Callithrix jacchus: one gene and its partners. The protein of the gene in region 1 binds, or shares a complex with, the protein of each later gene. Links are inferred from orthologs where the notes say so. Each region holds a gene or a part of one and is shown on either strand. Other genes may lie near its edges. The genes, in order: UBE2E2, RLIM and DET1.

Region 1 (3,649 bases):
TTAATCCACATCATACAATAACATATAAAGCTGTAATTCAACATTCTGACATTCCACTATGCCTAAAAGTTAGACTACTTTTATTTGTACTTCCTATTCGATCAATATAAAACATACAATAACAAAGCAAGAACATAAAATCACAGAATCAGGAAAGACACTATATTTATCTTTCAAATTATTTTCCAAGAGATATTCTATAATGTAACAATATCAAAACAGATTCCCTTTAAGTCCAATGACATGTCAATTATCTTAAGAGACTGATGTACCAACAGAAAATCATTCAAATACCTACTTTCCAGATCCATCTATTCCTCTAGAGAAAGAGAAACTGTGTATCAAGACAGACCCACTGACTAATGTAATGAAACCAAGATGCACTTGTTGCTAATGTCAGCATTTCTGACTTTACCAACTGAGAGTAGTGGAAAATAAACTATCATTCACTCAATAACTACTTCAATAGATTCTTAATCTCTATTCTGTGTTACTGAACAGGAAAAAAAAATTTATGGTCAAGTAACTGTAAATGAAACCACTGCAATTTTACATGCACATCCTGTATATGCTTCCTTAATGATACACAAAAACACAAACATACTATGGATATGTATTTTATGAATCTGCCATGCCATTTAACTGACTTTAAATACTTAAGTTCCCTATGGTTAAAACCATGTAAAAAAGATCGTCTGTAAGGGGAAAGAAAAATCCATGAAGTTCATGGCTTAAATATCCCGGAAAAAATGATTAAATGCAAAAGAAAAGTAGAACTTAAGATGATAAACTGATACCAAAAATAAAAAGGTTACAATAACTGAGGTACCTTTTAGCACTAGTTGACAACTTAGCAGCGGTTTTGCTGGATATTTTTCCCTCCTTTTTCTTGGGCTGAACTTGTTCTCTTTCTGGTTCTTGCTGAACACTTTCACGTTGATCTCCATCGGAACTTCCTCCACTAGTGCTTGGACTGTCATCAACTCTTTGTGCCTCAGTGGACATTTTAGATCCTAGATTAAAGAATCAAAAATCATTTATTCCGCTGTGAGGAGAATTACAGTACGCTACTTCCATGACACACAGAATGAGCCTCAAAGAAAACAAGTAAATCTCAATATAAAATGGATAAATTGGTCATTTACAAAACAATGCAGTTTTGAGAGTTGCTATAACTTTTCTTTCATCCATTCAAAGTATATTGTAAAATGAAAGCATACAAAATTTATACATGAAATGTTCACAGCGACATTATTCATAATAACCAAAATTGGAAACAACTCAAATATCCACTAAGGGATGAATGGATAAACAAAATGTAGTAGTATATCCACATAATGTACTATTAGCCATAAAAAAGAATGAAGTACAGTGTCTACGTGCTACAAAATGGATGAACCTTGAAACATTATCGTAAGTGAAAGAAGCCAGCCACAAAGGACCACAAACTGTTTGACTATTTATATGAAACGTCCAGACTAGGCAAATCCATAAACACAAAATTCAGTAAGCAGATCTCATGCCTGTAATCCCCAATGCTTTGGGAAGCCCAGGCAGGAACAGCCTGGGCAACATAGTGGGACTCAATCTCTACCAAAAAAAAAAAAAAAAGATTACTATCACTGCATTCCAGCCTGAGTGACAGAGTAATACCCTGTATCAAAGGAAACAAAATTAATAAAAAAAATAAAGAGGGTAAGTGGTTGCCAGGGAGTGAGGGGAGGGAGAGTAGTGAGGATTGACTGCTAATGGGTATGATACTTCCCTTTGGGGTGATATAAATGTTCTTAAATTAGATAATGGTAACATTGCATGATTCTAATTGTAAATATTCTAAGAACTACAGAGTTTTACATTTTTAAAGGGTAAATTTTATGGTATATGAATTACATATAATAATGCTGTTATAAAAAATAGGAAAAAAATGATTAAGGGTCTACTCTCTACCTGGTGCTGTGCTAAGCCCTTTGGTCCTACAACTATGAAAAACCTGGCCCAGTCAACTTGCTAAGTACTAAAACGAAGGTTTGTACAAAAAGCTGTGGGAACAGAAAAATGGGTGGACACTTAAAAATCCCTATTCAAATCAGTACATCCTCAGCACTGGGTTATGGTTAAAATTCTCCAAACTAGTAAATTATTTTAAGTGACCTTTGCAATAACAGATGAACACAAAGGTCTACATGACTGCATGATTCTAAATAAAAACTGAACCGTATGATGGTGTCAGCATTGATTCAGCTGTATACTAAAGCAACCATTTTTCATAAGAGATGGAGACGCTGAAGAATTTTTTTTTTCACAGTCCGGTTAAAATATTCCTCAAGGCTTTCAAATTCCCTCTCCTCTGAGTTCATGCTCCCCGAGCAGCTCTGATTACCAACTCAATTTCCGAAATACCTTGATATTTAGGTAGCTGTTATAACCTAGACAGCAGACACAATTCCTGTAAGTGAAAAGGAATATCTCTTCTCAACTGCCATTCTATCATAATCAATTTCTGAGTTTGATTACTATGAATACATCCCTTATGAGCTAACTAGCTTAGAGTATTCTGACAAATCCAGAACGGAACCAACAAAACCTATGTCCAGACTCTAAAAGGCCTTGTGCTTACCACGGTTTATCACCTAATAATCACTTTGAGCACTGTATAGCTACCTTCTCAGACACCTCTTTGAAAACAAAACTACCTATGCTTAACAAGTACCATTAACACAAAATACACCTTTAAAAATTATAGGTACACTGAACAAATTCCTTTTGAAATGGATTCTTTTGATTAATCAAATTAGAAGTTCAAATAAAACTGTTTCTGATATGATCAAGAATAAGAATACATAAAAATACTTCAAATAAAGCAAAAATTTTAATTACTATAATTTAGTCCAAATAGATAGCTATTTGACACTAATTAAAATTCATCATTAACAAAGATTTAACTTGTAGCTTGCTCTAAGCAAAAGCAATGTTGTAACATGGATCTTTAATGGATTGAAATTTTTATAAGACAAATCAGAAAGCAATGAAAAGAATGGAAGCATCAGGAAGCATAGAGAGGCAAAGAGTCAAAAGAAAACAGTGAATGCTTTCACTGACACACCACATACACCACCACCAGCACCCCTTCAACTACAACAGCTCCCCATGCCAAACAAAAACAGGTCTGCCCCAACAGTTCTGAAACACACTAACGGAAAAGCTGACTACTTTTCTACCTATTCTGTAAATGAAGAGCATCAGTCTCTACAGCTGTGACATCTTTTATGAGCACTAAAGTCACTTAATAGAATGCTGAAATTTTATATCAGTATGTTTCACCGCTAGCTCTAAAAATCGTAACATATTTCTTGCTTTTTTTCAGTTTTATTTCACTCTAAATTCTTATTCTTGGATTTAACATTGTTTTTCTTTCACCTTACTTCTTTCAGTTAAATTTTATCAGATGTTTGAAACCTTGAAAGTATGTACATAATAGCATATCAGATAGGGTGGCATGCATGGGAGTGAAAAAGAGAACAATACTCAGGGAAAGGTGCTCAGATACAGCAAAATGCTGCCAGCAATACCTTAAGAATTGTGAAATGAGACATCATTTTATACATTTTAAACCACAAGCAATCCATTACATGACAAATATATGGGAACC
Region 2 (3,649 bases), on another chromosome or scaffold:
TTTGATTCTGCACTGTCCTATCCTTTGCATGTCACAGTAGCTGTTCACATACATTAAATATTATAGATATGTTCTGCTCTTGACATCTACACACTTACAAAAGCAGCTTTGTACTTTGTTTGGTGTGTTTGTTACTATGTTGGCTCACAAAAAGCAGTTTCCTCAGTTCTAAGCATGGTACTTTACAATTTTTAATGCAATCATACAACAGTGCATTGGAAAAAAGTACTGAGCCTCTACAAAATAGCTTTACATTTTTAAACAAATGAATGTGATTTTTTTCACTTACACAAGCATAGGCTTTTTAATATTTCCACAAGATAAATATCTCAATTAAACTATAAGCTCACTCTACAGTGTGCCACAGTGATGGGCTTAGGAGACAGTTATACACTTAGATCCTAACCTTAGTGTTATTTACACTGACATGTCCAGTATCACCAACTCTGAAAGGTGAACAAACAATATTCAGAATGCCGCTGAATTTGTGTCAACTAATAACCGGGAATGGTATAGCTTTAATTACTTATGAGACACATACTGTAACTTAGTCTAAACTGGTAATTTCCTTCACCCTTCTCTCCTATGGCGTGGAAAAATTTAAAGATCAACATGAAACAGATAGGAGCCATTGCTAAGGCAGATTTTTTTAAGATAACAAAGGAAAAATTAACAAGTATAATGATAAATTATCAGTAACAGTGATGTTACCAATTTAACTGGTATGGAAATCAGATTTTTAGGTCCTAAAACGTGGCTTTTAAAATATTTCCTTTAAATATTCCTTTTATTCTGGAACAAAAACTGGAGAAAGGACAACGATTCCTTCAGAAAGCAATGACTCAATTCAGGTTGTTACTTTACATTTAAGTACCACTCAAAAAGTGGACATAAAAGCAAGTGATTCCTGTTTGCCCATCACTATATCAGCTACATAGCTGAGAGTTCAGATCTTAATTACACAACACTTTCTCTGTTACCAGAAGCTAAGACTGCTCTGCGACAAATAGGACAGGTAGAATTCTCAGATAACCAGCGATCGATGCAGTGGACATGGTACTCATGGGAACAAGGTAGTTTACGAAGTTTGTTGCCTTCTGTATATTCTGTAATGCAAACACTACAGGTTTTTAATGCATCATTTTCACCAAAACTTCTCATTGCCAAGTTGTCAATCTGTTCTTTGGTGAGTCCTCTAGGTTGGTCATCATCATCCTCATTTAAGAGGAAAAACTGAGCCAAGCTAAGGAAGGGCAAAGAGCCACTTTCATCAAATGTGACGGGGGCCCTATGTCGACCCTCTCGCCTGGCACCTGATGAGCCTGATGATGAGCTTCCTTCATTACTGCCTTCAAATAAATCTGAGCTAGTTTCTGAACTTTCACCACTGGAACTGGAACTAGGACTAGAACTTGAACTGGAACTTGAACTGGAACTGGAACTTGAACTGGAACCAGAACTACTACCACCACCAGAACCCCCTCTCCCACTCCGTGACTCTGACCTTTCTGTATTTCGATTTGGGACTGAGCCACTAGGCTCTGAGTCACTATCACTGTACATAAAATAGCTTAACTCACCAAAACCTGTCATTATCTGCCTTAACATGGTCTGAATTGCAACAGATGTAGTCTCACTTAAACCAGTATTTAAGATTCTACGGATAGGAATTCTGATGGTACTGACATAGGTTCTCACACCTGCCCGCTCAGAACGTGAAAATGTACGCCTAAAACCTCCTCGTTCACTTTCATAAGTGACAGTATTGTTTGGCGTCTGAGACCTAGACCGAGTTCTGCTGGCTATGCTATCTCTCTGCCGATATTCTCCAGGACGAACTCTTCTTACTTGAAGATCAAGGACTATGGTTGGCGGTCTCTGTCCTGATCCCGTAGATTCACCACTGGCAGCTGTGTCTGAAGAACCTGCTCCTTGAGAGGGATTTCTTGTTCCAGAAGCTGCAAAAAGACCTCTACTTAGCAACTCAGGCCCAGATATTTGCTGTCTCAATGTCACATGGTGCCGGGTTCTAGAACTTCCCTCTGTCTCGTTTACCAATGGATGTTCAAAAGTCTGAGATGAGATACTATGATGAGATCTTCGTGGAATTTCACTCATCGGATGCAGAGGTGACCTACTTCTCTCAGCTCTTGCTCTGGTTCTCCGATGGTCTGGGCTCCTGCTTCTTGCCCTCCTCTGACCTCTGGTAGGTGGGACTTCTGTTAATGTTTCAGTTGAATTTCGTTCTGATCTAGATGGCCTTGCAGATGTTGGTTCAGATCGTGGGTTTTCCACTTGCCTTTGGCTGTTGTTTTCCACATTTTCTCCACTAGAACGTCTTGCAGATGGCTCATTTTCATTCTCTGAATTTTGGCTCCCATTATTACGGTTAACATTTATCTCTAAACTGAATCTGAAATCACCACTGTTTGGATTAGTCCGGCTCACTGCTCTCCACGATTGGTTTCCTCTTTGCCCACTTCTTGTTGTATTTCCAGTTTGTCTGACAGAGTTAAGCCAGTCTATTATAGAGTCACCATTAGACACATCATCTGAAGAGTCTCCTCCTGTTCAAAAGAAAGGAGGGGGAGAGGGAGAAAAAGGAACTACTAAAATGAGGACAATCATATAATAAGTGCTCTGAAACTCTGCATTAAAGACCTTAAAAATTCTGAACACATTTCACAATTACGGATTTTTACAAACTACACTGCTCAAATTTATACTTATTTGGCAAAAATATTCTAATTCCATTTGAAAAAAGCAAACTATAGTAGAGAAATTTAGAGAATTATTTGATTTTTAAAGGGAATCTGGAGGATGTCTATTTTCAGTATTTTATCATATACAGAGCTAAGCATACCACTGTGGGATGGTCAGAAGACATTTTTTCAGCCCTCTGCCAAAACACTAATGTAATCAAACTAGGTAAGGAAACAGTGGTTAACAAACAGTCATATTTAGTTCAAGCTACATTTTTGTCAAGTTTTCATTACTTCTAGGCTTTTGACTTATGTGTCTTTGATAACACTTGAGGTTGTTTCAAAATACAGGACTATTGTAGCCACAGCAAAAATATAAACAAAATTTACAGGTTTAAAAGCACTTGAATATTTCTTAGTATTACCAAGATTTTCAATGGACATGATATTAAATATCAGATCAAATAAGTAGTCTGCACTTTGGATAGCATATATAATGGCATGTTCAAGAACCAAATTATTATCGTAGCCTCTGAAGTTACACAATCAAAATCCCTACTTGACACTGGGAGGGAAACACCAGACCTGAGGTTAGAGCAGGATTTCTCAACAGTGGCACTACTGACATTTCAAGCCAGTTAATTCTTTGTCATGGGGCTACGTTGTGCATTAAGGCACGTCAGGATGTTTGGCAGCATTTCTGCCCTCTACACACTAGACGCCTGTGGCAGATTCCCAGTTGTGTCAACCAAAAGTGTCTCTGGACGTTGCCAATGTCCCATATGGGGCAAAATTACATCTCATTAGGAACCACTGGGTTTAGACAACTTTTTTTTTTTTGCTGGTGAAAAAGTTCACATTTATAAAAAAGGAAGTAAGTAGGAATACATTTCAATGGAGGTAGAAAACAAACAAAGAAAATCACATTTAAATAGGCCATTTCTCAT
Region 3 (4,165 bases), on another chromosome or scaffold:
GCGGGTTATCTGGGCCCAGGCTCTCCCACACAGGACCTCAGCCCAAAAGGCAGAACTCATAGCTCTAACAAATGCCTTGGACTGGGCAGAGGGAAAAACTGTCAACATCTACACTGATAGCCGATATGCCTTTGCTATGGCCCATGTACACGGAGCCATTTATAAAGAAAGAGGGCTGCTTACCTCAGAAAGAAAAGTCATCAAAAGCAAAGAGGAAATCCTAGCCCTACTAGAGGCTATATGGAAGCCCAAGGCAGTGGCATTAACACACTGCAAAGGACACCAAAAGGGAGATTCACCAGAGGCAAGGGGAAATAGAGCAGCTGACCTGCAAGCCAGACAGGCAGCCTTGGGGCCAGTAAAACCTCTGACTCTTCTTGTGACTCTGCCGGCCCCAACCCTGCCCCCTACCCCTATGTACTCACCTGATGAAGAAAACTTTGCTAAAGAACAAGAGGGATGACAAGATTCCACAGGATGGTAGACTCTACTGGACACGAGGATTGTGCTCCCAGAGGCTCTAGGGTGGACTCTAGTTAAGGACACACACCAGGCCACACACTTAGGACAAACAAAACTCACTGAGCTACTGAGGGCCAGATACTGCATTCCACATTTACATGAAATTGTTAGGGAAACTATTACTTGATGTGATGTGTGTGCCAGGGTAAACCCAGGAGGCAGTAAGTCTAGTCAGGCAGAGATAAGACTTAGGGGTACTAGCCCAGGGAAACACTGGGAGGTAAATTTTACTGAAATAAAGCCCCCAGCATGTGGCTATAAATACTTCCTTGTGTTTGTAGACACTTTCCCTGGATGGGTCGAGGCTTTTCCTACTCGGTCAGAAACTGCACTGGTAGTAACCAAAAGACTGTTACAGGACCTGGTTCCTCAGTTCAGCTTGCCCCTGACACTGGGATCAGATAATGGCCCTGCGTTTACAGCACAGGTTTCTCAGGGCCTGGCCAAAGCCCTGGGCATATCCTGGAAACTACATTGTGCCTATCGCCCCCAGAGTTCAGGGCAGGTTGAAAAGATGAACCGGACCATAAAGTAGACTTTAACAAAATTCATTCTAGAGACCAGTGAAAACTGGGTTAACCTGCTTCCTTTTGTTCTCCTCCGTACCCGATGTACTCCCTATAAAAAAGGCTTCACTCCTTTTGAAATTATGTTTGGAAGGCCCCCTTCCTTACTCCCCAAACTTGCTGACACCATACATGCTGAAGTCCATAATCATACACTCCTTAAGTCCTTGCAGGCACTCCAGTCTGTTCAGTCCCAGGTGTACCCACTCATCAGGGAAATTCAACCTACCCCAGTGGACCTCACTGACCAGCCACTCCACCCCTTCCAGCCCAGGGACAAAGTCCTGGTAAAGAGATTCACCACATCTGGCCTAACTCCTCGCTGGAAAGGACCCTACACCGTGATCCTGATCACTCCCATGGCAATCAAGGTGGACAGACTGCCTGGATCTACCATGCACATGTCAAGACTGCCCCCCCTGGACACACAATGGAGTGACCTCAGCTTCAGCAGGCCACCTAAAGCTAAAACTTTCGCACTCCTCGCAGTAACCTTCCTTGTCCCCCTGATTCCTGGTGTAGCCCCCTCGGAGAGGGGCTTGACTCCCACCTATTACTGGTGGGTCCTTACTAAAAGATCCACTGGAGGGTATGTTAGTTCCTTAATTGAAAAGGGATCCAAAAAGAGAAAAACTATTAAAGATTTAATACATGTTAAAAGAACAGGGGGGAAGAATGTGCTATAGCGGGCCTTGAGTTAGAGCCTGAGCAATGTCATTTTATAAGACAAAGCTGTTTTTTCCAAAAATAAGTTGTACTGTCCCATTCTTCTTGCAATAACTGCTGACCTTGGCTTCTGTAAACAAAACTGCTAGCTTGCTCTAAAGAACGTACACTGCTTGCCTTTGTCTTAACAGTAACTGCCTGGCCTTTGCTTATCAGTAGTTACTGTAAAGTTGCTTGCCCTGCATCCACTATGTGGTTTTTCAGCTTATATACCCTGATCCCCCTGAGTTCGGGGCCACGGGTTGGAGAGACGTGAGTCCTCCGTGGTCGCTGGCAATAAAGAGCCTGCAATTTGGCATACTTTTGTCTTGGTTATTTCAGTCTCGCATCCAATACTTCAACAGGACTCGCCATTATTATTATACTTTGTCTTCTCCATAGTAATCGTCGCAAGTTGTATTTATACTTTCATTTGCATGGTTGTGTTTAATCTGATTCCCTTGCTAACCTGTACTCTGCAGACAAGAGGTAACCAGGTCACCCGGTATTCTCAGAGCCTGGCACTGGGGCTGGCACACCGCTGGCGTTTGGTACCAGTTCAGAAAGCCTGACTGAATTGGGACTCTAACTCACTGTGTGGTACTTAGTCCATTTCCTTTGCTGGGCCTCAGTTTGCCTACGGGGGAAGGTGTGTATGTCCCTCAATTCCTAGCGACCGCCTCTAAAACGAGAAGGGGATGCCAAGGGGCGGGCATACATGCCCAAAGGGGCGCCCCCGGAAAGAAAAGCCCGGGGCGGGGCCTCAATGGGAAGAGAATTCTGAGGGAGGGTGGGGGCTGCGGGCCTCTAAGTATCGGCGTCATGCGGGGAGGAGCCTGCTGGGGAGGGTCTGATGGGCGTGGAGGCTGGGCCAAAAATGGTAAGTCCTCACCTGTCTTGTCCAGGCTCAAAGAGCCAAGGAGAAGGATGCCCCAGCCTGTTCCGTGCGCGCCTCCCCCTGCCCCGCCCCCGCCATGCCTCAGGACCCCAGCGCCGGGCTGCAGGTTCCCATTTCCGCCAGCCACCGGAAGTGCAGCCCAGCAAGGAGGGAAGTAGAAGAGAGCGCAGCACTGTTCAGCCAACACTAAGAGACGTGTACAGCGCACCCTGGTGCCTGGAGGAGGGATCGAAGCCATAGAGGCTTAGTGGCAGCGGAAGAAAAATTAACGTAGTACCTAACCTGGGCATCTCTGACAGTTCCAACAACAGTGTCTCTGTGCCTGCAGAGCACATTTGAAATATATGAATAGAATTAATCTTTCACCTTTTGATTAGATGCTGAGAAACTACCTACTATGTTATCTTCTAGATAGTGAGCCCCTTGAAGACTGAGATTGTATTGATCATCTCTGACTAGCAAGGAATGTGCCTTGCTAGTGTTCAGATGGAGTGGATTTTTAAATGGTGTCACTCTGGCTCTCCTAGGCTCCTGTTTTTATAACAAAAAGATCTTCAACATCATTAGTTATCAGAGAAATGCAAATCAAAACCACAGTGAGATACTACTTTGTACCCCTTAGGATGGCTAGAATACCTTTAAAAGAAAAACATCACATACTGGTAAGGATGTAGAGAAATCAAAAGCCTCATATGCTGCTTCTGGGAAGGGTGCAGTTACTGTGGAAAACAGTTTAGCCGTTTCTCAAAGTTAAACATGAAGTTACTATTTGACACAGAAATACCTCTAGGTATATAACCAAGAGAAATTAAAACGTGTCCACACCAAAACTTGAACACAAGTGTTCATAGCAGTATTATTTATACTAGATAAAATATGTAAACAACCTAAGTGTCCATCAGTAGATGAATGGATAAACAAAAGGCTGTATATTCATACAATAGATATTGTTCAGCATTAAAAGAGGATGAAGTACCGATACTTGCCACAGCATGAGGAACCTTGAAAACATTCTGCTAAGCGAAAGAAGCCAGACACAAGAGGTCACATGTTATATTGCTCCACTTACATGAAACATCCAAGATAGGCAAATCTCTAGAGACAGAAAGTAGATGAGTAGTTGCTGGGGGTAAGTGAAAAGGAGAATTAGGAGTTATTGCTTGTGGGTATGGGGTTTCTTTTTGGGGTAATAAAAATATACAGAAGTAGATAATGGCAATGGTTACACATGTCTGTTAATATACTCAAACCGTCTGAATTGTACTTTTTTTTTTTTTTGAGACAGAGTTTCGCTCTTGTTACCCAGGCTGGAGTGCAATGGTGCGAGCTCACCGCAACCTCCGCCTCCTGGATTCAAGCAATTCTCCTGCCTCAGCCTTCCGAGTAGCTGGGACTACAGGTGCACACCACTATGCCCAGCTAATTTTTTGTATTTTTAGTAGAGACGGGGTTTCACCATGTTGACCAGGATGGT

Evidence for each region.
Region 2: the proteins of UBE2E2 (region 1) and RLIM are in contact, whole or in part, in a crystal structure (PDB 6W9A), measured with the Homo sapiens proteins. The link is inferred for Callithrix jacchus from reciprocal best matches to the Homo sapiens genes UBE2E2 and RLIM. Residues at the interface, in NP_001357154.1 of Homo sapiens: Lys52, Thr55, Lys58, Arg59, Lys62, Pro112, Asp113, Pro115, Phe116, Ile142, Asn146, Trp147, Ser148, Pro149, Ala150, Leu151, Thr152; in NP_057204.2 of Homo sapiens: Ser571, Val572, Cys573, Ile574, Thr575, Cys596, Arg599, Trp600, Pro608, Ile609, Arg611.
Region 3: the proteins of UBE2E2 (region 1) and DET1 are in contact, whole or in part, in a cryo-EM structure (PDB 9BJZ), measured with the Homo sapiens proteins. The link is inferred for Callithrix jacchus from reciprocal best matches to the Homo sapiens genes UBE2E2 and DET1. Residues at the interface, in NP_001357154.1 of Homo sapiens: Ala77, Gly78, Pro79, Lys80, Gly81, Arg88, Ser89, Thr90, Gly101, Val103, Phe105, Phe123, Arg124, Thr125, Arg126, Ser134, Gln135, Gly136, Gln194, Trp195, Arg198, Tyr199, Ala200, Thr201; in NP_001137546.1 of Homo sapiens: Arg258, Phe259, Tyr261, Asp264, Thr267, Val268, Phe272, Glu274, Asp289, Pro290, Phe291, Ile292, His297, Arg298, Leu300, Val301, Trp304, Arg305, Phe319, Phe320, Gln321, Phe323, Asp324, Arg327.

What each region holds. Positions count from the first base shown.
Region 1 is NC_133518.1:61,544,631-61,548,279, reverse strand, and holds part of UBE2E2 (ubiquitin-conjugating enzyme E2 E2), read right to left. Parts: intron 1,014-3,649; 5' UTR 1,006-1,013; coding exon 830-1,005; intron 1-829.
Region 2 is NC_133524.1:72,260,112-72,263,760, forward strand, and holds part of RLIM (E3 ubiquitin-protein ligase RLIM), read right to left. Parts: intron 2,568-3,649; coding exon 958-2,567; 3' UTR 1-957. UniProt on the Homo sapiens protein: E3 ubiquitin-protein ligase.
Region 3 is NC_133507.1:17,793,108-17,797,272, forward strand, and holds the start of DET1 (DET1 homolog), read right to left. Parts: upstream 2,828-4,165; 5' UTR 2,686-2,827; intron 2,483-2,685; exon of another isoform or gene 2,388-2,482; intron 533-2,387; exon of another isoform or gene 426-532; intron 1-425. UniProt on the Homo sapiens protein: Component of the E3 ubiquitin ligase DCX DET1-COP1 complex, which is required for ubiquitination and subsequent degradation of target proteins. The complex is involved in JUN ubiquitination and degradation.